7 linked regions of the Macaca fascicularis genome follow. The protein of the gene in region 1 interacts with the protein of each later gene in a biochemical or structural test. Links are inferred from orthologs where the notes say so. Each region holds a gene or a part of one and is shown in the gene's direction. Other genes may lie near its edges. The genes, in order: UBA1, UBE2Z, UBE2L6, UBE2D4, UBE2E3, UBE2R2 and UBE2A.

Evidence for each region.
Region 2: of the proteins of UBA1 (region 1) and UBE2Z, one has a biochemical effect on the other in vitro, tested with the Homo sapiens proteins (3 studies listed by BioGRID). The link is inferred for Macaca fascicularis from reciprocal best matches to the Homo sapiens genes UBA1 and UBE2Z.
Region 3: of the proteins of UBA1 (region 1) and UBE2L6, one has a biochemical effect on the other in vitro, tested with the Homo sapiens proteins (2 studies listed by BioGRID). The link is inferred for Macaca fascicularis from reciprocal best matches to the Homo sapiens genes UBA1 and UBE2L6.
Region 4: of the proteins of UBA1 (region 1) and UBE2D4, one has a biochemical effect on the other in vitro, tested with the Homo sapiens proteins (4 studies listed by BioGRID). The link is inferred for Macaca fascicularis from reciprocal best matches to the Homo sapiens genes UBA1 and UBE2D4.
Region 5: of the proteins of UBA1 (region 1) and UBE2E3, one has a biochemical effect on the other in vitro, tested with the Homo sapiens proteins (3 studies listed by BioGRID, with this or other methods). The link is inferred for Macaca fascicularis from reciprocal best matches to the Homo sapiens genes UBA1 and UBE2E3.
Region 6: of the proteins of UBA1 (region 1) and UBE2R2, one has a biochemical effect on the other in vitro, tested with the Homo sapiens proteins (5 studies listed by BioGRID, with this or other methods). The link is inferred for Macaca fascicularis from reciprocal best matches to the Homo sapiens genes UBA1 and UBE2R2.
Region 7: of the proteins of UBA1 (region 1) and UBE2A, one has a biochemical effect on the other in vitro, tested with the Homo sapiens proteins (6 studies listed by BioGRID, with this or other methods). The link is inferred for Macaca fascicularis from reciprocal best matches to the Homo sapiens genes UBA1 and UBE2A.

What each region holds. Positions count from the first base shown.
Region 1 is NC_088395.1:47,320,515-47,323,136, forward strand, and holds the end of UBA1 (ubiquitin-like modifier-activating enzyme 1), read left to right. Parts: coding exon 1-177; intron 178-1,319; coding exon 1,320-1,421; intron 1,422-1,529; coding exon 1,530-1,630; intron 1,631-1,787; coding exon 1,788-1,923; 3' UTR 1,924-2,122; downstream 2,123-2,622. UniProt on the Homo sapiens protein: Catalyzes the first step in ubiquitin conjugation to mark cellular proteins for degradation through the ubiquitin-proteasome system.
Region 2 is NC_088390.1:57,796,746-57,800,245, reverse strand, and holds part of UBE2Z (ubiquitin-conjugating enzyme E2 Z), read left to right. Parts: intron 1-1,504; exon of another isoform or gene 1,505-1,678; intron 1,679-2,995; coding exon 2,996-3,108; intron 3,109-3,500. UniProt on the Homo sapiens protein: Catalyzes the covalent attachment of ubiquitin to other proteins. Specific substrate for UBA6, not charged with ubiquitin by UBE1. May be involved in apoptosis regulation.
Region 3 is NC_088388.1:16,046,504-16,050,497, forward strand, and holds the start of UBE2L6 (ubiquitin/ISG15-conjugating enzyme E2 L6), read left to right. Parts: upstream 1-1,194; 5' UTR 1,195-1,270; coding exon 1,271-1,294; intron 1,295-2,585; exon of another isoform or gene 2,586-3,077; intron 3,078-3,994. UniProt on the Homo sapiens protein: Catalyzes the covalent attachment of ubiquitin or ISG15 to other proteins. Functions in the E6/E6-AP-induced ubiquitination of p53/TP53. Promotes ubiquitination and subsequent proteasomal degradation of FLT3.
Region 4 is NC_088377.1:86,333,873-86,338,037, reverse strand, and holds the start of UBE2D4 (ubiquitin-conjugating enzyme E2 D4), read left to right. Parts: upstream 1-1,365; 5' UTR 1,366-1,400; coding exon 1,401-1,442; intron 1,443-1,456; exon of another isoform or gene 1,457-1,856; coding exon of another isoform or gene 1,857-1,880; exon of another isoform or gene 1,881-2,050; intron 2,051-2,088; exon of another isoform or gene 2,089-2,289; intron 2,290-3,352; exon of another isoform or gene 3,353-3,458; intron 3,459-4,165. UniProt on the Homo sapiens protein: Accepts ubiquitin from the E1 complex and catalyzes its covalent attachment to other proteins. In vitro able to promote polyubiquitination using all 7 ubiquitin Lys residues, but may prefer 'Lys-11' and 'Lys-48'-linked polyubiquitination.
Region 5 is NC_088386.1:76,487,114-76,490,737, forward strand, and holds the start of UBE2E3 (ubiquitin-conjugating enzyme E2 E3), read left to right. Parts: upstream 1-1,500; intron 1,501-1,838; coding exon of another isoform or gene 1,839-1,881; intron 1,882-2,038; 5' UTR 2,039-2,063; coding exon 2,064-2,257; intron 2,258-3,624. Other genes in the region: uncharacterized protein, read right to left, coding at 1-1,318, 1,839-1,881. UniProt on the Homo sapiens protein: Accepts ubiquitin from the E1 complex and catalyzes its covalent attachment to other proteins. In vitro catalyzes 'Lys-11'- and 'Lys-48'-, as well as 'Lys-63'-linked polyubiquitination.
Region 6 is NC_088389.1:65,590,192-65,594,371, reverse strand, and holds the start of UBE2R2 (ubiquitin-conjugating enzyme E2 R2), read left to right. Parts: upstream 1-1,380; 5' UTR 1,381-1,987; coding exon 1,988-2,164; intron 2,165-4,180. UniProt on the Homo sapiens protein: E2 ubiquitin-conjugating enzyme that accepts ubiquitin from an E1 ubiquitin-activating protein, and catalyzes its covalent attachment to other proteins by an E3 ubiquitin-protein ligase complex.
Region 7 is NC_088395.1:125,912,995-125,917,018, forward strand, and holds the start of UBE2A (ubiquitin-conjugating enzyme E2 A), read left to right. Parts: upstream 1-1,224; 5' UTR 1,225-1,373; coding exon 1,374-1,417; intron 1,418-1,562; coding exon 1,563-1,643; intron 1,644-2,036; coding exon 2,037-2,062; intron 2,063-4,024. UniProt on the Homo sapiens protein: E2 ubiquitin-conjugating enzyme that accepts ubiquitin from the ubiquitin-activating enzyme E1 and transfers it to a E3 ubiquitin-protein ligase. In vitro catalyzes 'Lys-11', as well as 'Lys-48'-linked polyubiquitination.

The sequences.
Region 1 (2,622 bases):
GGGAAGATCATCCCAGCCATTGCCACGACCACAGCAGCCGTGGTTGGCCTTGTGTGTCTGGAGCTGTACAAGGTTGTGCAGGGGCACCGACAGCTTGACTCCTACAAGAATGGTTTCCTCAACTTGGCCCTGCCTTTCTTCGGTTTCTCTGAACCCCTTGCCGCACCACGTCACCAGGTGGGGGCCCGCATCAGAAGTGGGGTTTGGGTGGGGTATGTCTGTAGATTCTGGTTCTAATTCACGTCATACCCTGTCACCAGGTGAGGGTTTCTGTCTATGTGTACCTACCTTTTTTATGCATCCTTTTTCGTTTATTCATTAATCATATTGTTTGAGTACATGCGAAAAGATGGGATATTTGAATTGTGCCCTGGGAGATTATTAGTATTATTAACTACACAATAATGGCAGCCAAAATTTATTGGATGCTTCCTACACTTATATGCTTTGCTTGCTTCATTCATGAATTCACTCAAATATTTATTGAGCACCTGTTGTGTGCAGGTACTCTTCTAAGTTATGTTCCTCAAGTAGATGATATAAATAACCTATTAAATGATCTTGGAATCAAAAAAGGATAAAAAGAGGCCGGGCGTGGTGGCTCACGCCTGTAATCCCAGCACTTTGGGAGGCTGGGGCACATGGATCACCTGAGGTCAGGAGTTCAAGACCAGCCTGGTCAACATGATGAAACCCTGTCTCTACTGAAAATACAAAAAATTAGCTGGGCATGGTGGTGGGCACCTGTAATCCCAGCTACTCGGGAAGCTGAGGCAAGAGAATGACTTAAACCTGGGAGGCGGAGGTTGCAGTGAGCCGAGATCGTGCCATTGCACTCTAGTCTGGGCAACAAGAGCAAAACTCATCTCAAAAAGATAAAGAGGACTTGAGAATACCAGGGGGCAAGGGGATGTGTTTGAGATTTTGCGTGGGATGGTCAGAAAAGGCCTTGCTGAAAAGATGACACTTGAGATCAGAATTGGAGGATGTGAGGGGGCAAACCGTGCAGGCTTGGTGGTGAGTGGGGACACATTCCAGGCAGAGGGACCAGTTCTTAAAAGGGTACCAAGATAGGGGTGTGCCTGGCAAGTTGGAGGAATTCAAAGTCCACGGAGTGAGTGTGAGACTGAGGAGAGTAGGAGATGAGAAGAAAACAATTTCAGTGCTTGGGGTGAGATGGGAGCCACAAGAGGATTTCGAACAAAAGAGGATTGTGATCTGACTGAACACGTCTGCATGGGGGTGAGGGGGATGGAGACAGATGGGGGCTGGACCCTCTGGGATGGTCTCCATCTTACACTCCCCTCTTTGTCCTGCAGTATTATAACCAAGAGTGGACATTGTGGGATCGCTTTGAGGTACAAGGGCTGCAGCCTAATGGTGACGAGATGACCCTCAAACAGTTCCTCGACTACTTTAAGGTAAGGCCCCTCCCTCTCTCTCTCACCCCACCTTGGGGGGCGAGGTGTGCAAGGTGACTTGCTGGCCTGTCCACCCCCATGACCCTGCTGTTCCCCGTCCCTCTCCAGACAGAGCACAAATTAGAGATCACCATGCTGTCCCAGGGCGTGTCCATGCTCTATTCCTTCTTCATGCCAGCTGCCAAGCTCAAGGAACGGTTGGATCAGCCGTGAGTTGGCCACTGGCCAAGCTGGGGGGAGGCCCTGTATGGGTTGGGGAACCTCAACATCCAGCTGTCCCACTCCAGTTCACTGCCCCCACCTACCTGCCCGTCCTCTCTTGCTTTCTGCCCTCCTGACCCTATGCTCCCATCCCCCTGTCCCCAGGATGACAGAGATTGTGAGCCGTGTGTCGAAGCGAAAACTGGGCCGCCACGTGCGGGCGCTGGTGCTTGAGCTGTGCTGTAACGACGAGAGCGGCGAGGATGTCGAGGTTCCCTATGTCCGATACACCATCCGCTGACCCCCGTCTGCTCCTCTAGGCCGGCCCCTGTCCATCCCTCTCCACGCCCCTTCCAGCCCAGGGTTCCCATTTGGCTTCTGGCAGTGGCCCAGCTAGCCAAGTCTGGTGTTCCCTCATCATCCCCCTACCTGAACTCCTCTTGCCACTGCCTTCTACCTTGTTTGAAACCTGAATCCTAATAAAGAATTAATAACTCCCACGTCGCCTGCCCTGCTGGTTCCAGGCAAGGAAGGGACTTCCTGGAACTATCTGGTTCAGATGGTAACTCAGAGGGCTCAGCCCCACCACACCTGCCAGTTTTCTGGGCAAAGAAAATGTAATTGCCACCTCTTCCTGCCCTCTCTGCCTAGGAAGAAAAGGAGGCACCAGTGAGGCCAGTGAGCAGGTACTTGGGTCCATGTGACTATTAATTTGAGCTGGGTTCAATTCTCACCTTCTCCATGTCCTAACTCCCTGCTCTGTGAAGAGGAAAGTTGTGACCAGGCTGCTAGGGCATGGCCAGCATGCCTTATGTCCTTAGAGCAGATCCCCTCCCACCTGGCTCAAAGCACTCAGACCCTGGGCAGCCTTTTGTAGTCATGGTTCCCAGCACCAGGAATGCCTGTGGTGCTCTTAGTTCAATTTCCTTGCTGCAGGGGTGTCTTAAACAGCTCTGCTGAATGCCAGTGCCTGCAGGCATACTTTGCAATTTTTATGGAA
Region 2 (3,500 bases), on another chromosome or scaffold:
CAGGCTGGTCTCGAATTCCTGACCTCAGGTGATCCACTTGCCTTGGCCTCTGAAAGTGCTGGGATTACAGGTGTGAGCAACCATGCCTGGCCAGCTTAATTTATTTTTAAACTACTACAGATGACACCAACTTTGATTATTTCTCTATAGACCTGAACAAAGGATAACAAAATACCTTTCAAAAATGAAAAAAAAAATTTTTTTTGAGACGGAGTCACTCCGTCGTTCAGGCTGGAGTGCAGTGGCTTGATCTTGGCTCCACCTCCCAGGATCAAGCAGTTCTCCCACAGCCTCCCGAGGAGCTAGGACTACAGGCACACACCACCACGCCTGGCTAATTTTTGTATTTTTAGTAGAAATGGCGTTTCACCGTGTTGGCCGGGCTGGTCTCGAACTCCTGACCTTAGGTGATCAGCCTGCCTCAGCGTCACAAAGTGGTGGGATCACAGGCGTGAACCACCGAGTCTGGCTTCAAAAGTTAACTAAAATTATTCCCTAATCCATCCTTTCTCCAAACAGTCATTTCAGGAGGAGATTCTAATTGAAATAGACCTCATTAGCAGGAGCTGATTTGTAGGTCTTATCTTTTTTTTTTTTTTGGAGGCAGACTCTCATTCTGTCACCCAGGCTGGAGTGCAGTGGTGTGATCTCAGCTCAGTGCAACCTCTGCCTCCCAGGTTCAAGCGATTGTAGTGCCTCAGCCTTCCTAAAGTAGCTGGGATTACAGGCACACACCACAACGCCTGGCTGATTTTTGTATTTGTAGTAGAGATGGGGTTTCGCCATGTTGGCCCGGCTTGTCTTGAACTCCTGGCCTCAAGCAGTCTGCCCACGTCAGTCTCCCAAAGTGCTGGGATTACGGGTGTGAGCCACCATGCCCAGCCTTGTGTTTTTTATTTTTTACTTCTACAATGACTTGCAGTTGTTTTTATTTTATTTTTTATTTTATTTATTTATTTACAGGCACGCACCACCACGCCCAGCTAATTTTTATATTTTTAGTAGAGACGGGGTTTCACTATTTTGGCCAGGCTGGTCTCCAATTCCTGACCTCGTGATCCACCTGCCTCAGCTTCCCAAAGTGCTGGGATTACAGGTGTGAGCTACCGCGCCTGGCCCATCAGCTGCTTTTATCAGAGGCCACGGCTCTAATTGACTGGGGTTGGTGGTAAGAGAAGAGCACAGGAAAAAGTAAAGAGGAGGCTGTACTCCCCTTCCATTCACACCATAGTGAGATCCTGTTTATATTGGCTTTCTAGACCAAAGTTGAAGTTTATCTTTTGAAAGTTTTAAGTTCTGCTTCTGCTAGATTTATTTCTAATTTTACTATTTCTTTGAGACAAAGTCTTGCTCTGTCACCCAGGCTGGAGTACAGTGGCACAGTCATAGCTCACTGAAGCCTCGAACTCCTGGGCTCTAGCCATCCTCTCGCCTCAGCCTCCTGAGTAGCTGGGACGACAGGTGCACATCACCAATGCCCAGCTAATTTTTGTATTTTTTATAGAGACGGGATCTCACCATGTTGCCGATGCTGATCCTGAACTTCTGAACTCAAGCAATCCGCCTGCATCGGCTTCCCAAAGTGTCGGAAGTACAGGCATGAGCCGTCGGGCCCAGCCCTACTTCTGATTTATAATAATTGGTTCAATGATGGTGGGACCCTAGAGACATATAACAGGTAAAGGGGTTAATCAGGAAGCATCCTTTACTTGTTGGTGCCTAAAGGTTTTCCACGCTGAGACTCTTCACTTCATTTATACCTTTTTGTCCCACCATCATTCTTTCTTTCTTTTTTTTTTCTCCCCCTAAAAAGACAAGTGTTTCCCAGCCTGGGCAACCTAGTGAGACCTTGTCTCTACTGAAAAAATTAAAAAAAAAAATAGCTGGGCATTATGACATGCACCTTGAGTCCCAGCTACTTGGGAAGCTGAGGAGAGGAACATCGCTTGAGCCCAGGAATTCAAGGCAGCAGTAACCTCTGATCATGCCTACCACTTTCCAGCCTGGACGACAAAGCAAGAGCCCGCCTCTTAAAAATTTGTAAAATAAAAGACAAATAAGCTGGGTGCGGTGGCTCATACCTGTAACCCCAGCACTTTGGGAGGCGGGTGGATTACCTGAGGTCAGGCGTTCAGGACCAGCCTGGCCAACATGGTGAAACCCCGTCTCTACTAAAAAATAAAAAATTAGGCGGGCATGGTAGCGGGCACCTACAATCCCACCTACTTGGAAGGCTGAGACAGGAAAATTGCTGGAACCCAGGAGGCAGAGGTTGCAGTGAGCTGAGATCGTGCCATTGCACTCCAACCTGGGCGACAAGCAAAACTCAAAAAACAAATAAATAATAAAAAATACAAACTTGGGACCCGCTGTGGTGACTAATGTCTTTAGTCCCAGCTACTCAGGAGGCCAAAGTGGGAGGATTGCTAGAGCCCAGGAGTTCGAGGATCCCTAGATCCCAGGAGGTCAAGGCTGCAGTTAGCTATGATTGTGCCACTGCATTCCAGCCTGGGCAACAGCAAAGACCCTGTCTCCAAAAAGAAAAACTGAAAAAACAGGATCTTACTTTGTTGTCTAGGCTGAACCCAAACTCCTGGGCTCAAGTGATCCTCACACCTCAGCTTCCTGAGTAGCTGGGACTACTGGTGCATGCCACAAGGCTTAGCAACCCTACCATCATTCTTATGTTTGGTTATTTCCCTCGTAATCTTTACTTGATAGGCCTTTCACTTGACATTCAGGAAAATGATGTGGATCTAGTTTGCTGGTTATAGGCCAAATGACCTGCAACCTGATGGTATATTTGGAGGGTGGTGGGGTGAATGGTGTCAAAAATAAAGGTGTGGTTGCTCTTCATGGATCTGCCATACAGTGGGAAAGGTATTTTTTAGTTTGTATGACTGGCTTGCATACCCCATACTAATCTTGAAGTCTCTTCCCATTGCCTTTCTTTTTGCTTAAATTTTGGGATACTCTGGCATCTGTTACATTACAGGAGAGACATCCAGGAGACAGCAAAAACTATAATGAATGTATCCGGCACGAGACCATCAGAGTTGCAGTCTGTGACATGATGGAAGGAAAGTGTCCCTGTCCTGAACCCCTACGGTATGTGTCAAGAGGGCTTGCTTGGTATTATTCCTTTGGGGCACTTGGGTAGTTGACACCTTTGAGGAACTTTGGGGCAGAGACAGTGTTGGGCACCAGAGGGAGATAGAGAAGAAGGAAAGATGTGGTTCCTGCTTTTAAAGAACAAGCTGCTGAGGGTTACCCAAGAGAAAGTTCAGAGAGCTACTGTGTTGGAGAACGCCAAGCCTTTGGGAGAGGCAGTCCACACCCTCAGGGAGTTTCCAGTTTGATGAAGGCTTGGATGTACTTTTTTCCAGCCAAATGTGTAGAGCACTTCATAATAAACTCATTTCTTAGTGCTGAAGTTTATTTTTATTATTATTTATTTATTTATTTATTTATTTTGAGATGGAATCCCGCTGTGTCGCCCA
Region 3 (3,994 bases), on another chromosome or scaffold:
GAACAGCTTGAACCGGGAGGCAGAGGTTGCAGTGAGCCGATATCGCCACTGAACTCCAGCCAGGGTGACAGCGAAACTCTGTCAGAAAAACAGGAAACAAAAAACCTGTGAGGTACTGAGACCACAAACTAGTGCTCAAAATATAGCTATTTCCTTTCTTGTCTGGACTAAAGCGGGGTAGGGAAGGGTGAGAAGGAGGGGATCGGCCCTCCCAACAAGTCTCATCCTCCCCAGATGCTGCTCGGTGCTCAGGGGCTGCAAGTACTCTGTCTTTGCACAGAGGAGTGGGGACTCCAGCTGTGCATGGGGGCGCACACTAGGCCCATAGCTTGATAATGGACCAGATGTAAAGTAAGGGAGGCGAAGCAGACGCTCTCTTGGAAAGGAGGCTCCTGAGTCCGTCTTGGGGCTTCCCCCAGCCAACTGTTTCCCAAATCAGTATACAGTAGGCACTTGGTAAATACTAAGCCTAGTAAAGGACTGAATGATGGTAGACCGAACCCCCAAAGCAAAAGAGAAAGGGTCCAACAGCGCCTCCTTGAGGTGCTCTGCCCCAAGCCACTGGGAGAAACGTTGCAGCCCGCGCCGAACGCCGGACAGCATAAAGGATTCCCGACCGCCGGGCAGCGGTGCTTGGAGGGCACAGGTCTACGCCGTCCCTCACGCAGTTTCGGAGAAGGAGCGCTGGGCCCATGGAGGGAAGGCGGCAGGCTCGGCGGCTGCGGATGCTCGCTGGGGCAGGGGCTCAGGGCGGAGGTCTGATGGTGGAGGCCACCGAGAACTGTCACGGAGCCGCGTCCGCACAGCGAGCCTCCCTTATTCATTCAGGGCGAGTGTGTATTTGGGGCGGCGCGCGGGGGTGCTGACCAAGACCGGAGAGCTCCCGGCGCGGCCGCCGGCGGAGCGAAGGCTAGAACCCCTATGAGCGCCCCCCAGCGCCCCTGAGCGCTCCCTGCCGGTGCACGACGCCCCCAGCGGGAGGCAGGGATCAGCAGAGCCTCGCGCCCCGAGGCCCGCCCCCGTCTCCCTACAAGGACCGTGAGTCCCGGGTCCGAGCCCTCCGCGCGGGGATCGGGCGGTTGCCCGGCGCGTTGTCCCTCGGCGGCCTTCTGGCCCCGCCAGCGCGGATGCCGGGAGGTCCACGCTGCGACCGCGGGAGGAGGGGTGGGCGGGGCTGCCGGGGGTGGGGGCCCCGGGGCGGGGCGCGCTGTTTGGCGTGTAGGTGCTCGGTCCTGCTGGAGGACGCCAGTGGCACACACTCGGTCCCGAGATGGCGAGCATACGAGTGGCTAAGGTAACCGCGTATAGGATGACCCCTTTCTCTTGGCTCCCCTCGCCCCGCGCATTCCCTCCTCTCTCCATCCCCTCCGCGGCTCTCCGAGCACATTCATTTATTTGTCTGGGCATCAGAGCTGGCTGAATCCCTGTCCTTCCCGCGCTCTACTCAGAGGAGGACTGGCCTGCAAGAGTGGCCAGAGCTAGAGTTTTGGGGGTTTGGGGGCCTCCGCTTGAGCCGTTTGCGTGGTGAAGATGAGCTAGCTCCTCCAAAACTGGTTTCAATTTCGCTTTTCCTGCCTGAGACTTGTGATAATAACTGGGTGCATCTCCAGTGCAGGAAAGGTCCTTGGCATCTTGGTGCCAGGCATTCTGCTACTGCTTGTGGTGGGTTATGAACACAGATGACCAGGATGAAGTCCTTGCCTTGGAATAAGCCCATGGCCCATCCCATAATTTGATGCCTGTATTACTAGAGTCCTGAGAAACACGGAATGCTGATTAGAATTTGGGGCAAAGTTCCCTGGGTATTCTCTGGAGGCAAGATGCGGAGGTGGACCTGGAAGGCCTCCTGGAGTAGGTGGCTTGCATTCGTGAGTTCTACAAGTGTTGAATGCCTACACGTGCTGGCCCTGTTCTAGGAGGTGGGGGTGGGGCGGGCAGAGATGAACACAAATCCGGCCCTTGTTGAATTTTATTCCTATCAGGGACACAATTTGAAATAAGATCTGGAAGGATGCGGAGGGGGCAGTTCCCTCCAGAAGGTGGGAAAACCCAGGGTGTTTGGAGATGGATTAGGGAGGAAGGTGATCCTGGTGAAGTGAGTATGGCACCGCAAGTCTCTCAGAAGTGCCCCTTCCAGTCTGCAGGGTGGAAGGGCAGGCTCTAGGCGAGGAAGAGGGTGCCTGCTACCCACAGCCTCTGAGAAGAAAATGGCCTCAGACTGGGACGCCCAGAGCAGGCTTGGCCTAGATCCTAAATCTGGAGGTTGGCAGCAAAATGAGTCAGAGGGTCTTTCCAGCCAAGGGGAAGAGAGATGGGAGCCAGAATTTACTGCACTGGAACCATTACATGCCAAACAGTGTACATGGTTCTTTCATCTAATTCTCACAGCAGTTCTGTGAGATAAGTAATATATACCTGCATTTTACAAATGAGGAAATTGAGGCGCAGAGAAAATAACTTGCTTGTCCAGAGTCTTTCAGTAAGGAACAATGGGACTGGACTATGAAGCCAGGTCTACAGGCCTCCAGCCTGCAGGCTCTTTCAATGGCCTTTCTACTTTCATTTTCTGTTCTGGTTAGTCAGGTGATTTCCTATTAGGCAGTAGGAAAGAACTGTGTGTTTTAAGTTGGGTTTCAACTTCCTCAGGCTTTGGGAAAGTTTTGGCAGAACTCACCCTAAATAGATAAAGTCCAAGTGTGCCCAGTTATAGTAAAGTCAGGGAAATGTTTATTCCAGTTCTTCTCTGGTCAGCCTTGGGCTTTGTTCTTGCCAAACAGTCACAGATGATAGAGAAACTCTTAGGAGTACAGGTGCTTCTAGTTTGGGGTAAAGATAAATGAGGGCCCATTGACTCTGGGTGGGAGGCACCAGAAGCAGCTTATTGGTTGAACAGAGATGGAAGGTAGACTGAGAGAGAGGAGGGGGGCATGGGATGTGTTTATATTATATGCTGGGGGTGGGGAGAAGGCAGAGAAAGTTCAAATGGTCCCCAGTGGTAAAGGACCCCTCCTCAACTGTGGACTGGGTTTGGAGAGCTTCCGTTTCTCAACATCATCACTGCTGACATTTTGGGTCAGGTAACTCTTATGTATCTGTTGTATGTTTTTAGATTTGAGGTTACTGCAAGGTTTATAAATAATATCTTATAACCCGTTATTTTAAACTAATGACAAGTTAACACTGATTGCATAAACAAACAAGCAAAATGAAACCTAATAAAGGCCAGGTGTGGTGTCTCACTCCTGTAATATCAGCACTTTGAGAGGCTGAGGTTGGCGGATTGCTTGAGCCCAGGAGTTTTGAGACCAGCCTGGGTAGTACGGGTGGATTGCATGAGCCCAGGAGTTCCAGACCAGCTTGGGTAACACAGCCAAACGCCATCTCTACAAAACGTACCAAAATTAGCTGGGCATGGTAGCATACTGCTGTAGTCCCAGCTACTTGGGAGGCTGAGGTGGCAGGATCACCTGAGCCCAGGAGGTTGAGGCTTCAGTGAGCTGTGATTGTGCCACTGGGCTCTAGTCTGGGTGACAGAGTGAGTGTCTAAAAAAAAAAAAAAAAAACCAAAAACCAAAACAAAAACCTAATACAAACTGTACACTTTAACTTCGTCTTTCTGCTTTTTAACTTGTTCTTTCTTTTCTTTCTTTTTCTTTCTTTCTTTCTCTTTCTTTCTTTCCTTCCTTCCTTCCTTCCTGCCTTCCTTCCTTCTTTCTTTCTCTCCTCTCTCTCCTCTCTCTCCTTCTCTCTCTTTCTCTCTCTCCTCCTCTCTTTCTCTTCCTCTTTTCTCTCTTTCTTTCTCTCCCTCTCCTCTCCTTTCTTTCACAGAGTTTCACTCTTGTTGCCCAGGCTGGTGTCCGCCTCCCAGGTTCAAACAATTCTCCTACCTCAGCCTCCCAAGTAGCTGGGATTATAGATGCCCGCCACCACGCCCAGCTAATTTTTGTATTTTAGTAGCGATGGGGTTTCACTATGTTAGCCAGGCTGGTCTTGA
Region 4 (4,165 bases), on another chromosome or scaffold:
GATGCTGTGGTGATGGAAACACTTGATAGTCAGGTGGGCTGGAGGTAGGAAGGAGAAGGTAAAGCTGGAGGATACTTGATTTTGTTTTGAGTTTTTGTTTTTTTGAGACTGGGTCTTGCTCTGTCTCCCAGCCTGGAGTGCAGTGGTGCCATCACAACTCACTGCAGCCTTGATCTCTCGGGCTCAAGTGATCCTCCCACCTCAGCCTCCCAAGTAGCTGGGACTACAGGCGCACACCACCATGCCCAGCTAAGTTTTGTATTTTTTGTAGAGACGGGGTTTCACCATGTTGCCCAGGGATGGTCTAGAACTCCTGGACTAAGGGATCCACCCACCTCAATCTCCCAAAGTGCTGGGATTACAGGCACTTTGCCACAGTGAGTCACTGTGCCTGGCTGAAGATCCTGGATTTTGAAGGCCCCTGAATGACAGTGAATGTGATGCTATAGGCCACTGGGCTTCCTTGAAGAGTTCTGGGTAAGGATGCAGTGTGGTAAGCTTTATATTTCAGACAGTTTATGAAGTTGTGTGGAGGACAGATTGGGGGAATAGGAGCATGAAAGCCAGGGACAAAGCTGGGCAACCATTGAAATGTCTATAATACATTTTGTTTCCTAAGTACAAACATAGAGGTGACCATGTGTCCTGGCTGGCTGGAGACAATCCTAAATTATGGCTTTGGTCCCAGAGTAATTATATTAAGAGCCACTTTCATGCTCAAACATGTCTCAGTCTGAAGATTAAATATCATCTACATATACACAGCAACAAAACTTCCACAATTCTTACCTTCACTGTGTGAAAGGCACTGACATTTTTTTCTCTTTTTTATTTTTATTTTTTATTATTTTTGAGACACAGTCTCACTCTGTTGCCCAGGCTGGAGTGCAGTGGCGCGATCTCAGCTCACTGCAACCTCTGCCTCCTGGGTTCAAGTGATTCTCAAGTAGCCTCTCAAGTAGCTAGGATTACAGGCATACGTTACTATGCCCAGCTAATTTCTGTATTTTTAGTACAGACGGGGTTTCACCATGTTGGCCAGGCTGGTCTCGAACTCCTGACCTCAAGTGATCCGCCTGCCTCAGCCTCCCAAAGTGCTGGGATTGTAGGCGTGAGCCACTTCGTCTGGCTTTTTTTTTTCAAATGTTGGTTGCAACCTATTAAATTGATTTCGTGACACACTAAATAGTTCATAACCCTCAGTTTAAACAACTCTGACCTACACGCCTGCCAAGTCTTAGGAAAACAGGAAGGAGACAGCTAATTAAGTTTGGGTGATGCATAGTCTAAGGCATTGGTTCTCAACATTGGCAGTGCAAGATCACGTGAGGTACGACTGAACACGGAGATCTCCAAAACTGCGGAGAGTTGTGCGTGTGCACGTATGCACAGACATCTACATGGAAATGGCTGTAACGCATCCAGCCATAAGGCGTACAAGGGTATGTATACTTACAGAGTTAAGAACCACTATTCTCAGGAGTTATATGACAGCCTGAGAAGACGCCCAGGATGTAGGAACAGGGAGCAAGCGAGCGTTTGGCACCTTGAGGGTGCTCCGCGCGTCTGGTAAAGCCAACGAGCCCCTCCTCTTCGCTGGCCTCTCCGGGGCCTTGCTGACCAGTGGTCGAAGCCACAGGACCGGGTGCGGGTGGCCAGCGTAACCGGGGCAGCCCCGCGGCTTCCCCTCGGCCGCGCCAGGACGCTCTGCACGCGGCGACGACGGCCCCACAGTTCCCCGCGCGCGCAAGCGCAGGCGGCGGCTCCCGGCGTGCAGCTCGGTGGCGGCTGACCCGGCAGCGGGCCGCCTCAGGCAGCCCTGGCCGGGCCGCCCGGGTCCCCGGCAGCGGGGTAGGATGGCGCTAAAGCGGATCCAGAAGGTACGCACTTTCCCACCCTCCGACTCTTTGGGTGTCCGAAGCGTCGAGGTGTGGGCGGGGCGCCGCTGCCGTGAAGTGAAAGGTGACAAAGGCTCCGCAAGTCGCGGATACACCTGCCTAGGAAGGTGGCCGAACAGCCACCCGCGCAGCCTGAAAAGCTAACGCAGCCTGAGAAGGGGATTGCGCGAGCGCGGGGCGGGGCCGGGCCGTGACCACGTGGGCTGCGTCACGCTGGCGGGGCGCCGTGGGGCCACCTGCAGGCTCCTGGACAGCGGGTTGCTGGGTCCCCGGAGTAAGGCAAGCTTGCTCCTCTAGGGTATCCAGAAGGGCTGGATGGGTATCCAGAAGGGTATCCAGAAGGGTATCCAGGATGAAGCTGGGTCCTAAGCGATGAGTAGGAACTCGGCAGGTGGGGAAGAGGGAAAAAGGCTTTCCCGGCAATGGGGAGACCACGAGGCCTGGAGGACTGACAGGATAGGGGAGAAGCTGAAGGGCAGATGGTGTGGACTCGGGTGGTCCTTAGGGGCAGTGCTGAAATAACTGATTTTTATCCTGTAGGTAAGAGGGAGTCCATGAAGGTTTAATGCATTCACTAGGATTTGGAAAATGCACAACAGTAGAAGAAAGAAGTATTTCTAATCCTATCACTTTACTATTTGTTAACATTTTAGCATACCTATGTTCAGTTTTTTCTATATTTAAAACAATTATCCTGCATTTTGTATTCCACTTATTCACATAATAGTAAATGTAAGCATGTTGTGAAGTAGTATTTATAACTTTTTTTTTTTTTTTGAGACAGTCTTGCTCTGTCGCCCAGGCTGGAGTACAGTGGCACAATCATGGCTCACTGCAGCCTCAACCGTCCGGGTTCAAGTGATCCTCCCTCCTAAGCTTCCTGGGTAGCGGGGACTACATGCCACCATGCCCAGCCAATTGTTTATTTTTTGTAGAGACAGTGTCTCACTATGTTGCCCAGGCTGGTCTCATACTCCTGGGCTTAAGCGATCCTCTTGCCTCTACCTCCTAAAGTGGTGGGATTACAACGTGAGACACCATGTCCAGTTCTGTAACTAATTTTTAACATTAACTTTCCACAAGTACATGACTAGTGACTTATTTAGTCATTACCTGTAGTAGGTAAAACTGTAGTAGGTAAAAGTATGAACTTGGGTGTCAGACCTGGGTTAGAGAATGTGAGGTCACTTATAGTGGGACCTTGGGTAAGGCACTTAATCATTCCTAGCCTCCCAGTCCTACATGTTTACAGAGTTGTTTCGAGAATTAAATGCTATGAAATGTGTTTAGCACATGCTTGCTGTATACCAAGCACTCAATATGAGTTAGCTGCTGTTGTTCAAAATTCTTCACTATTTGCTGTTATGAACTTTGTATTAGGCTGTTTTGTTTGCTATAAAGGAATATCTGAGGCTGAGTAATTAATAAAGAAAAGAGGTTTATTTGGCTCTCAGTTCTGCAGGCTGTACAAGAAGCATAGTGCCAGCATCTGCTTCTAGTGAGGCCTCAGGAAGCTTACAATCATGGCGGAAAGCAAAGGAGAAGCAGGCGTGTCACCTGGTAAGAAAGGGAGCGAGAGAGATGCCAGCTCTTTTAAACACCCAGATCTCGCATGAACTAATAGAGTGAGCACTCACAGATTATTGTTGGGGGGCTACCAAGCCATTCATGAGGAATCTGCCCCCATGACCCAGACACCTCCCACCAGGCCCCGCCTCCAACACTGGCGATCACATTTCAGCATGAGATTTGGAGGGGACAAATATCCAAACCAGATCAACCATCATTGTACAGTGAGCCTTTTCCTTAATTCACATTACTGGGTTTGATTGCCAGAGGTGGAATAACAGGATCTCTGAGAGTATGACTCTTCTTTTTAAATAGCTGTCCAAAAGAGAGATAATTTTGATGAGTTATTCTCTGAAAGGGGTCATCTGTCATCCTAGGGCTTTGAAGCAGGTGAATGACGTGCTGAGATCTGTGTTATAAAAAGATCCTTCTGGCGGCAGTGTGGCCTAAAGTGGGACAGAGGGAGACTAGAGGCTGTTGTGAAGATTCAGCAGAGGCTTTGCCCAAATTAATGACCATGGAATGGATGCTAGGCCAAAGCAGTGCCTGGACCACATTACAGAAGTGGAATTGACAGGACTTGAGGAGAGGATGTGGTGAAAGTGAAACAAGGAGGTGTACAAAATGGGTCACAAAGCAGTGCCTGGACCACATCACAGAAGTGGAATTGACAGGACTTGAGGAGAGGACGTGGTGAA
Region 5 (3,624 bases), on another chromosome or scaffold:
TAAATAGAGGTTGGTCCCCTAATCAACAAATATATTCTACTCTCTTCAATGCCCAGGACCCCACCTTGTCCCTTCCTCCAGCTTACACGAGGGGCAAGTGGCAGCTCTTCTCCGCCTGCGTGCCTGGCCTCGCCAACAACACCCATTAGTCTCCCGTCTCCCGGGGCGGCGGGGGACTCCCAACCACGCGCCCAGGGCCCTTTCCCAGGTACTGGGGCCCCGGGAGCCACGACGTCCCCCACGCAGGCGGACGGGATGGAACTAGCCCTGGGGACGCGGGTAGCCCAATGGGCAGCCTCCGCCCGGAGGCGGGCCCAGGCCGGAAGCCACCCCGCGGCACAGCGGCCCCACGATACGGTGCCCGCGCCCCCGCCTTCTCTGGCACAGGCTCCGCGGCCAAGGGCGGCAGGGGCCAGCCCGCCAGGTCCCCGCCGCGCTCTTTGTCCTGGCCGCGCGCGGGCGGACGCGTGCACCCCCCGGGTGAGGGGAGGTGCGGGGAGCGCGCGCGGGAGCGCGCGGGAACAGCTCGCGCCCGCCGGGCGCCGGCGGCGCGCGCCCCTCCGCCAGGCAAGCAGCGAGCACGCGCGCCGCCGCCGCGCCCGCCCCTCCCCCCGCGTTCGCCTCGGAACTTGCTGACTGCGCGGCCGGGAGGAGCCGAGCCGGGCGGCGGCGGCGGGAGGCCACAGCGCGCGGGGGTCTCCCGCGTCCCCTCCGCCTCGCCGGGAGCTCGCGCCCTCGCCCAGCCGAGCTCCCACCCCCCCTTTTTTCCGAAGGCGCTGGGCGGCGCCACCCTCCGGCCGGAGCCCGGCACTGCACAACCCCCTCCGACTTTCAATGTTCCACACTCCCCGGCCAGAGCCTCCTCGGCTTCTTTTTTTCCCTCCCCCCCCTTCCCCCCCCCACAGCTGCCTCCATTTCCTTAAGGAAGGGTTTTTTTCTCTCTCCCTCCCCCACACCGTAGCGGCGCGCGAGCGGGCCGGGCGGGCGGCCGAGGTAAGGCGGAGGGGCCGGGGGGCCGCGTGGGGGGCGGCCGGGGCGGCGGCGGCTGCGGTGGGGGAGGGGGCGGGGGCGGGCAGCTTTGTTCGCGCCGGGCGCCCGCGCCGCCGGTGTCCGCGAGCCGCGGCGGGGCCGGCCGGGCTGCTCGCATCACTTGGCGCCCGGCGCGGCGAGCGCTGCCCGCGGCCCCCGCGCGGCCCTCCCCACAAAGGGCCGCGGAGCTGCGTGGCCGCCGCCGCCGGCCGCGACTCGCCTCCGCGGGCGCGGAAATTTGTTGCACTTCTTGGGGCTTTGTTTGTTTGTTTGTTTTTCCTCTGGGTTTCTTATTTTTTTCGTTATTTTGGACAAAATGTCGGTCCGTGATGTAAAAATTGAGCGAGGAACCTTGGTGGCATTGGGAGCTTTGCAGAAGGTGCAGTTTGAATTCTGCTTTTCCCAGGGTGGCAGCTAGGTCTTGGCCGGATGAATCTTCGCTGCTGGCGGTGGAAACAGCTAGAGGAGCTCGTTAGTTGATTTTTAAATTTCCAAGTGTTGTGTTTAAAGCCTTTACGTGCACTGAGAAGGAATCGCCACCTTAAATAAGCATATGGGCGATTAACAGGGTGTGTTTTCCTCTCGGAAAGGGAATTTGGTAGCTTTGACCAATGTCAGTGTGTAAATATTTAGACGTTATTAGTGACTTTTAAACATTTTTTCAGCGAGATCTGTTATTTACAGTATGTCATATGTTATTAATGCTTGTTGCCTAAGTTCCTTGGCAAATCTGTTTCATGCCTTCTGAGAAAGTAGACAATTGATAGATTGTCCAAGAGATGGAAAAAAATGTGAGTGGGTTTTCTAACTTGAGTTCGGCAAATCCCTGAACGCTGGCGTTGTGTGACACATCACCTCCCTTGTAACCCTTGTTGTATGATGAAATAAGTGTGAACACTTTTGAAGCTTTTTCATTACAATACGATATTAGATGAATAGAAGAAAATGCTGTTGGTTTATTTCCTAGATTTAACATTTTCTCCCCATCCTCCCCTGTTCTCTTTAAAAGTTTTCCAAGAGATAACTTCACCAAGATGTCCAGTGATAGGCAAAGGTCCGATGATGAGAGCCCCAGCACCAGCAGTGGCAGTTCAGATGCGGACCAGCGAGACCCAGCCGCTCCAGAGCCTGAAGAACAAGAGGAAAGAAAACCTTCTGCCGCCCAGCAGAAGAAAAACACCAAACTCTCTAGCAAAACCACTGCTAAGTTATCCACTAGTGCTAAAAGGTAATGTGTAAAAGAAGGATCCAGCACACTTTGTCAGGTTGTCTTCCAGGTGGTTGGACGCTTTTGTTGGTTTTACATCAGTAGCAATAGTTCAGAAATATTTACTTCATTATCAGTTTATTTGTACTTGAATGAGTTGTCATTCTTTAGGTGGTATGTATGCAACCTTGCTAGAATTATGCTTTTAAGCAAACTTATTCTGTACTTCGGTAACTTCAGTTGAGTATCCTTGAGTAGAGATTAGACTAACATTCTGACAGATTGTTTAAGGAGTTGGCAAGGAAAATTTGGTGAACCCAAATTAGATGGTACTTTGGGGATGTTTCCTTTTATGAGTCATAATCTTCTTTAATGAAATTGACACTTCCAGAGATTAGCAGGGCCTCTCTTCATGAAACTTAATGATCAGAAATGATCATATTTGCTAGAAAATTGCAAATTCAGGCCTTTGCTATGTTTGAAAGCAGATTTAAAATCGTGCTGCAAATCTGCTTACAGTTTTACAAAACATGACTTTAAATCATGTATCACAGGTAACTTTCGTGGTTAAATTATGATTATCCCTCCCTGTGCTTGTGAGGGCAAATCAAACTGAAAAGTAGCCCTTTACAATTTGAGGTGTCACTGGTGATAGAAAACTTTCATTGTCCTTGGACCTCTTCACTCTGAAACTTGTGGATGTGCTTGACAAGTTAATACTCAACAGCAGGAGAAACATATTTAATTGGATGTAAGTGGAAGATCATTTGTTTCCTATTGATTTATATTTTCTGATAGAGAAGAAAAGATTCTGTCAATGAGACTCTGTCAGTGGTAGTAGTAGTGGAACATCCACAAACTCTAGTAATTATACATAAAATGTATAATCTCTACAGCGTTAGCCAATGTTGACATTTTGTTAATTTTTATTGATCACAACTAAAGGAAAAAATATTTCTACAAATACTGCATTCTGTGGTGATTCATAAATACTCATATTTTTCTATGGATTTTCACCTTTATTGTCTCAGTAATGATGTATTAATAACTTGAGAATATTTTTGAATGGCAGCAGTCTTTGACATAATATAAAATCCTTCTCAATTTGGTATAGTGTTGATGCAGAACATATTAGACACGTCTAAAGTTTTGAAAGCATCTTAAATTTGAATCAAATCAGAGAACTGCTTTTCTCCCCCTTAACTCAGGCCTATGTATTTTCTCTTTCTGTCAATATTTACTAAATTTAAGTGCTGTGCCTATGATCAGGGAAAACAGAAATGGGTAAATTAGAATGTCATGTAGTCTTCGAAAGTTTTTCACCAGTAAAGATATTTGTAAATTTTAAACTTTTTTTTTGACAGATAAAATATTGTCAGAACTGTTAA
Region 6 (4,180 bases), on another chromosome or scaffold:
AGAGCGAGACTCCGTCTCAAAAAAAAAAAAAAAAAGTTTTTTCTTTCAAGTTCCTATGAATCATTTACCATGTGCCAGTCACTACGCTAAATGCTGTACATACGTTTAATCATTATAATTGCTTGTGTTGGGTATAATTAATCCCCTTTTACAGAAGCTGATGAAACAGCCGGGTGTGGTGGCAAGCACCTGTAGTCCTAGCTATTTGGGAGGCTGAGGTGGAAGAATCGCTTGAACCTGGGAGGAGGAGGTTGCAGTGGGCCGTGATCGCGCCACTGTGCGACGACCTGGGTGATAGAGCAAGACCCTGTCTCAAACAAAACAAAACAAAAAAACAAAAAACTGATGAGACAGGGAGAAGTAATGTGTGGAACTAGGGTTGGAACCAAGATCTGTCCGATTCCGAAATTGTGTGTGTAGAACTCTCACGGTATTCTGGCTTTTCTAGGAAATGTTTTTTAGGCAGTTATCCTAGGACACGCCTTCCTAAGAGAAAGGAGTACTGTATTCTGAACCACGGGGACCAAAGACTGTCCCCACATCTCATTTCGGTTATGATTATCTCGAAAGTCCCTCAGTTCCAGGGTGGACATTCAAGCCAAAAGGACCTATAAGGGGTCAAAGTTCAAGCACAATTTTACAAATGGGGAGGGCGAAGGGTAGCCCCAAATCACAATGAGAAGGGCAGGAGACCCACTTTGTTATTGTCTCTTTTTCCTCACAACTTCCTCTTTGTAGTTAAGAAGGGAAGCAGAAGCTGACCTTTCTGTCTTACCCCGTTTCTCACGTGGAACTGCCGCACCCAGGGTGGGTAACGTGCCCAAGGGCATATTTGCCTGTGGGCTGGCCTGCGGGAAGGTCTGTTGCCACGGAAAAGACCCACATTCTCAGCACATCCTAATCAAGTAGCTACTAAGTGGAGGGACCGCAGACTGGGTGTCACAGGGAGGGGCCTGCAGCGACCAGGCCCGTCCCAGGATGGCTGCCGAGGCCCCTGGATCCACAGTGGGGAGGGCCCCGAGAACCGGGGGACCTGGGTTCCCTTCCGGGGCACGCCTTTGGAACTGCGGCGTCCAGCCGCACAACCGTCACTATGGGGCCACGGCAATCCCTGCGCCCATCCTCGGTCCCCGCTGCCTCTGGGCTCTTTATAGGCGGGGGACACGCGCCGGCGTCACAAAGCGCCGCGACCGCGCGGGAGGCCAAGAGGCGTGGAAGCGGGAGGAAGAGGAGGAGGAGGTGGTAGTGTAGAAGAGCCAGGCACGGTGGGGGGAGGGGAGGGAGGGGCGCGCGCACGCGCGTCGGGTCGCCAGCCGCTGAGAGCCGCCCAGCTCCCGGCGTGCGCCCCTCCTCCCTCTCTCCCTCCCTCCCTCCCTCCCTGCTTCTCGGCTCCGTAGCTCCCGCGGCGCGAGGCGCTCTCGCTCTCCTCCTCCTCCTCCTCCTCCGCCGTCGCCCCTCCCCCCGCGCAGCCGCCGCCGCCACCGCCGCGAGACCCCCGCACGCCGCTCTCCCCCCACCCCCTCCAGCCCCGCGCGCCCTCCGGTCCCTACGGCCCCCGAAGAGAACGAGAGGGCGAGCGAGCGCGGCGTTCCCGGGCCGGCCCGGCCCCCTCCCTTCACCATCGCCGGCCCTCCGCCGCCTTCCTCCGCTTCCACCTCCTCTCCCCCCCCCCAAAGTTGAGGCCCCCCTCCTGGGGGGGGGAGGACCGGGACCGGGACCCGGAGCGAATTCCCCTAACTCCCTCGACCTCTCCTCTCGCCTGGCCCGAGTGTGAGGAGAAGGGCCCGGCCCGGCCCGCGTCGTGTGTGAGGAGGACCGCGGGCGGGCCCACGGGCCGTGTGGGGCCTGGTCCGGCCCGCCGGGTGTGTGAAGACCGGGGCCCGGTGCGGCCCGGCCCGAGGGCAAGCGGAGGGGAGGGGCCTGGTCCGGCCCGGCCGGTGCGTGAGGACTGGGGCCCGGGCCCGGCGCCGCCGCCGCCGCCGCCGCGATGGCCCAGCAGCAGATGACCAGCTCGCAGAAGGCCCTGATGCTCGAGCTGAAATCCCTGCAGGAGGAACCGGTGGAGGGCTTCCGGATCACCCTGGTGGACGAGTCCGACCTCTACAACTGGGAGGTGGCCATCTTCGGGCCCCCTAACACCCTCTACGAAGGCGGCTACTTCAAGGTACCCTCACCCCCGCTCCCGGACCCTGCCTCCGCGGCCGAGGCCTCCGGCTCCCCGCCGCTTTCTGCCGTTCCTGGGACCAGGAGTATGAGCACGGGCCAGTGGAGGGGGCTCCTCACCCCGGCAGCCCCCTCCCCCATCCGTGGAGGCAGGAAGGCCTTGCTCGCCGAGTGCCTTTTCTTTGTCATGGGGGCGGGGGCGCGGGCGAGGGCGGGAGGGCAGGCTGCACCGGGAAATCGGAGAGTCTCTCTCTGGTTAGGGTAGTGGCTACAGGCGCAGGAGGCCGTCTTTGTTTCCCCAGCTGAGGGCGGGTGGAAAGAGCGGTGGTCTGTCTGTGCTTTCTCGTCCTCCGGTCGGAACCCCTCCCTGCGCAGGCTGGAACTGCCCCAGAGGGCAGGGTGACCTGCACCGACTGGATTGGACTTTTCTTTTTTGGGGGGGTGGGGGTGAGGGTGGGGGAGGGGCACCAGCTTGTCATTTAAGAAGCTGCCGAGTGCCCTGACATTTTGAGGATTTGTTGGACTTCTTGGGTAGTAGTAGTGCCAACTTTGCATTCCAATGGGTGGTGGTGAAGAATGGGACCCTAGGGGTGGTTAAAAAAAAGGGGTGCCCGCGTCTTGTCATTATCCTTTTGGGGGAACTTTAACCCTCTTTCCGTTCACATTCTCTGCTTACCTCAGTCACTGGTTCTTTCAAAATGCCCTTTGTCCTCACTGTGCCACCAAGTTTGCCAGCCTTTTTTTCTACAGGTAGAAATATCCACAGAGGGTGGAACGAGTCATGTAGGGAGATTGATAGCTTCCCACTTTCAGAGACAAAATTGAAACCTTCTCAAGTGGTTAACTCTAGCTAAAGGGGTGGTCTCACAGGTGACAAGTATCTGAGGCGAGATCGCTTCTCTGGGTGGGATATATGTTTGCTTAGCGACCACAGACATTGTTTCTATTGTTTCATATGGTTTTAGAACAGTGGTTATTCTAGAATCTAATTTTTTTTTTTTTTTTAACTCCAAGGTAGTTAACCTGGAGATAATGAGTGTTTGTTTTGTTTTGTTTTTACTTGAGTGTTTTTGCAGGGAGGAATCACAGATTGAAAGTTTGAATGTTTTAAATGATGCGGGCAGAGACAGAGGAAATGAGTGCTTAGGAATCCATTTAGTTTTATTTTTTTATTTCCAAAATTAAGTAAAATAGGCCAGTGAGTCAATTTTAGTTTGGAAGGGAGGGGTTATCTTGGCACAAGTTTTAAATGAGTATCTTAGTCATGTAGTTGTGATGTGTATTTTTAGGACTACCCAATTACTTAACTCTTGTTTTCTACCCTTCTAAAGGTGGAAACCTCAGTTTTATGCTTGAAATTAGGTCAACTTTATAGGAGATGGGATTTATACAGGAATGTTTAATATTCGCTACTGTGATAGTCACTGAATACTTAGAAAAGCACGTTTTTAGAATATTATGTAAGTGCGGTACCCCTACCGACTGTTAGGCTTCATCTTTTGTGGTCAGCCTACCCTATACTTTTCAGATGGAGGTATTTAAAATTTCTAAGAAAACATGCAAGTTATTAGTAACAAAGTGGAAAGGTATTGCTGTGTTTATGTTAAGCATATTCTCTGTTGTCAGATATAAATTTTTATGCATACTGGAAAAATGAGTTGTACAAAATTGAATCTATGTGATGCCTTTCTTTCTTTTTTTTTTTTTTTTGAGACTGAGTCTTGCTCTGTCACCCTGGCTGGAGTGCAGTGGTGTGATCTTGTCTCAGTGCAACCACTGCCTCCCAGGTTCAAGCGATTCTCCTGCCTCAGCCTCCCAAGCAGCTGGGACTACAGGTGCACACCACCACGCCCAGCTAATTTTTGTATTTTAGTAGAGATGGGGTTTCACCATATTGGCCAGGCTGGTCTTGAACTCCTGACCCTGTGATCAGCCCACCTTGGCCTCCCAAAGTGCTGGGATTACAGGCGTGAGCCACCGGCCCGACCATGATGCCTTTTCTGACAAAGCATTGTTT
Region 7 (4,024 bases), about 79 Mb from region 1:
ACTTGCCTTTACTGTCACTGCCTGGTTCAGTATCTCACACCTAGATACTGCAAGAGTCTCCTGCCTGCTCTCTTGAGACCAATCTCTGATAAGCACAGCTCTAATGATGTCACTTCCCTGCTTAATGGACTTCCAAGGAATCCATTAGCTTGGCATTCAAAACTCTTGATGACTTAACCCAAACCTACCTTTCTCCTATTTTCAATAATTTTTAAATGTGTATTATGCCTATCTTCTAAGTTATTTTGGGTTGACCTTTAAAAATTATCCTTTAAAACTGTTACTGCTTTTGCAGGTCCACGGACTGTGACTCTTCCCGCAACCTGCAGCTTTTCCACGTTCCTTTTACTTCAGACCCACTGTCCTTGCAACTCCCTGCAGTCGGATAGTCTCATACTGTGGACTCTTCTGAACATATAATAGCCGCTCGGCTTGTTGAACTACCAAGGGAAAATGTGGTTCCAGAGCCAAATTGTGAGTGCCCAAAGCAAAACAAAACAAAACAAAACCCTACTCTGCCTGCCTTAAGCTCCCATTCCCTCCCACAGGACATACAACACCATTTCATTCTGCCCAGGGGTGATCATTGGCCTAAACGTTGAGCGCCCAATCCTGCATTCAATCCCACAGCCCCGCCCCGCCCGCCGGTCATAGTCAAGGCCAATTTATTCTTTTGATTTTTCGTGATTTTAACCAATCACTCTGCTCCGCACCCCTCCGACCCCAATCTCCGGTGTCCGCAGGGATTGGGCACCCTAGAGTTGCCGCTTTTTGAGAACCGGTTTTACCTCCGCCCACTCCTTCGTCCTCTAGTTTGGGACTTCCAAACTTCTCCCCCCTCCTCCCCGGGCATAGTGCGCGCTCTCATGAATGATCTGGTCACAAAACAAAAAAGAAGAGAAAAAGAAAAAAAGGAAGAAAAAAAGAGAAAAAGAAAAAAAGCCGAAAACTTCCCAGGGTTTGCCTTAGAATTAGCAGGTGGGGATGGACCCCGTTCCACCACGAGGTCCTCCAGCGCCCCGGGCTCCAGCGTACCCCACGCCTCTGAGCTCGCGGCCCCGCCCCCGGCCTCCTGCGGGGCTTTAATGACATAAGCAACTTTCCTCGCGCACCCCCCGCCCCGTCTTGGTACGGCCTGTCCGGCGCTCGACGTTCCACCCCCCTCTCTCTGCTCTCAGGTTGGTTCAGCCCCCGTCTACACTGGGGTGGTGCTTAGCCGGCGCCAGACCGACCCTCGACTTCGGAGAGGCAGCGCGGTGCCTCTGGGTGCTTCCGCCTCCCCTTCTCCGGCTTCTCCAGCGTCCTCGGCCTCGTCGCCCGCCGCGGGAACCCGAGACCCCAGTGTATGCCCCACCCCTGACCCCGCTCGCGACATGTCCACTCCGGCTCGGCGGCGCCTCATGCGGGACTTCAAGAGGTAAACCGAGGGGACGGCCGAGGCCGGGGGTTGCGAGCCGGGGCACAGGGCGGGTCCCGAGGCGCGCCGGGCGGGGAGGGCTGGGGAGCGGCCGGGAGCGGGCGCCAGTGCCGGCCTAGGGGGACCCCTGTCTGTCTTCCCGAAGGTTGCAGGAGGATCCTCCAGCCGGAGTCAGCGGGGCTCCGTCCGAGAACAACATAATGGTGTGGAACGCGGTCATTTTCGGGTGAGTCTGCGTTCGTGGCGGTGGCGAGAGAACCGGGTACGCGAGCCCTCTCGGTCTGCGCTCCAAGGCGGGCCCCCCGTGGAGGCCGAGGGGGTAGGGGAAAATGTTTGGGTCTGGCTGGGCCTAGGCGCCTCCCCGGAGCCTGTGCCTCGATTAGCTCAGTTCCCGCTGCCAGGGGGAACCGCTTGGGGTTCTAGGGGGGCGGGGCGGGGAGTGGTGGCGGTTAGGCGCGGCGGCCTGCCCTGTGTCTCTGAGCCCGGGACATCTATTTGTAGTGGCTTTCGACTCCGGCAGCGGTGCGGGAGGTGGCAGAGCTCGGGATAGCCATCTCAGATGAAGCAGGGAGAAGGGGGCCCCTTAAGTGGGAACTGACCATTTTTCTCTGTGTTGCAGGCCTGAAGGGACCCCGTTTGAGGATGGTAAGAGAGAGTTTCTTTACCCACTTTTCAGGAGCCTGATCATCTGGGGAATGGGTTCCCACTCATCCTGGAAGTGTCTCCTGCTTAGGAACCTGGCTGTGCCTAGTCTCTGTCTGCTAAAGGCTTGAGTGGAATGCAGTGTGTAGCTGGTCGTTCTGGATATTGTATGCTTGACTAGAACTGCACCTTTCTTCTTGTTTTCTTAAAAAAAAATCTGGGGAAGGCAGTCACTTTTTAAAAGGAGCAATCATAGCACTGATATTAAGGATTTTTGAGGCTTGGGCTGTGATTCTGCTAAATTCAGCCCTCCATCACTGAATTAGTATAAACCCAACCAGTTGCTGATAGTCAGCAGAAACACCAGAGACCATCTGGTTCAGAATTCTACCCCAAGGGCAGGAATTGTGGTCAGCAGGTGCTTGGTAGATGTGTGTTGGATGTTGAGTGGATGCAAGCGTCCCTTCCATTCAACTGTCTGGTTTCTACAATCTGACATTGAATGCCTGTCAGCCTCACTTCTCTAAGATGGTCTTAAATGCCTCATTTGAGTACAGTATTGTTTCTTATTTTTAAGTGAATTTACAGTGTGTGCTTTCATCAAGACGTTATGATCAGTAATTTCAAAGCAGCTTCACAATTGAAGTTAGCCTCACTGTACCCTTTTGATCAGTGTCCCGCCTACTTGAAAGTACTACATGTACCAGTAGGTACATAATTTTTAAGTGATTTAGGTTTAACTTTTAAAAACACATGTGTAAATTGCTTTTTTAAAACTTTATGATTTTAGATAATTATAGATTCATATGCAGTTGCAAGAAATTAAGAGAGACACCCTTTATACCCTTAACCCAGTCCTCTCCCCAAACCCTCCCGTTTGGTAACATCTTGAATGACTAGACCCTATCACAACCAGAAAAATGACATTGATAGTTCTGCACTCAGTTGTGTGTGTGGTGTGTGTGTGTTGTTGTTTTTTGAAAGTTTAATACATTTAAAGGATGATTAAAGTATTTGAACTTATGAAATTCTTTAATATTTGAGGTTTTTAAAAAAAGGAAAAGGATGTTTCTGTTATTTTTTTTCCTCAATGATTTATCTTCATTCGGTCACATAGCATTTATACACACACACACACTTCAGTTTGAAGGTGGGAACAAAAACATTTCTGCAAACTACTTAATACATACTTATGTTGCTGAGCCGGATTGCTTTTTGATGCTACCAGTCCGCAAAATGTTGTGAGGTAAGTCAATATCAACTAAGTCTATAATTCATCTCAAGTAGTTAGATTTCTCCAGGAAACTGTGGACAGTCACCTGAATATTTTTAGCTTCCTCTCTACCTTTACCCCCTGGGTAAATATCATTGTTCTTCAGGGCTGCAATGAAAAGAAATGACAGCAGGAGACAGTGATTGTAAGGGCATACTACTTTGGTGCAGTTAATCATTTGAGCTGATTTGTAGCAAGAAACTATAGCTAGACTTAAATTTTCCTCTACCAGATTGGCACTAGTTATTTATTTATTTATTTATTTATTTATTTATTTTTGAGACGGAGTCGTGCCCTGTCACCCAGGCTGGAGTGCGATGGCGCGATCTCAGCTCACTGCAACCTCCACCTCCTGGGTTCAAGTGATTCTCCTGCCTCAGCCTCCTGAGTAGCTGGGATTACAGGTGCACGACACCACGCCCGGCTAATTTTTTGTATCTTTAGTAGAGATGGGGTTTCACCATGTTGGCCAGGCTGGTCTCAAACTCCTGACCTTAGGATCCACCCGCCTTGGCCTCCCAAAGTGCTGGGACTACAGGCTTGAGCCACCGTACTCAGCCAGCACTAGTTCTTTATACCTGAGATTTAAATGTACAGATTAACTGTGTATTTGCTTTAGCTCTAGTAGGCTTTGTTTTCATTGGCTTCTTTTTTCCTCGTTTTACTCTGTTTTATGCTGGGCACAGCTTTAT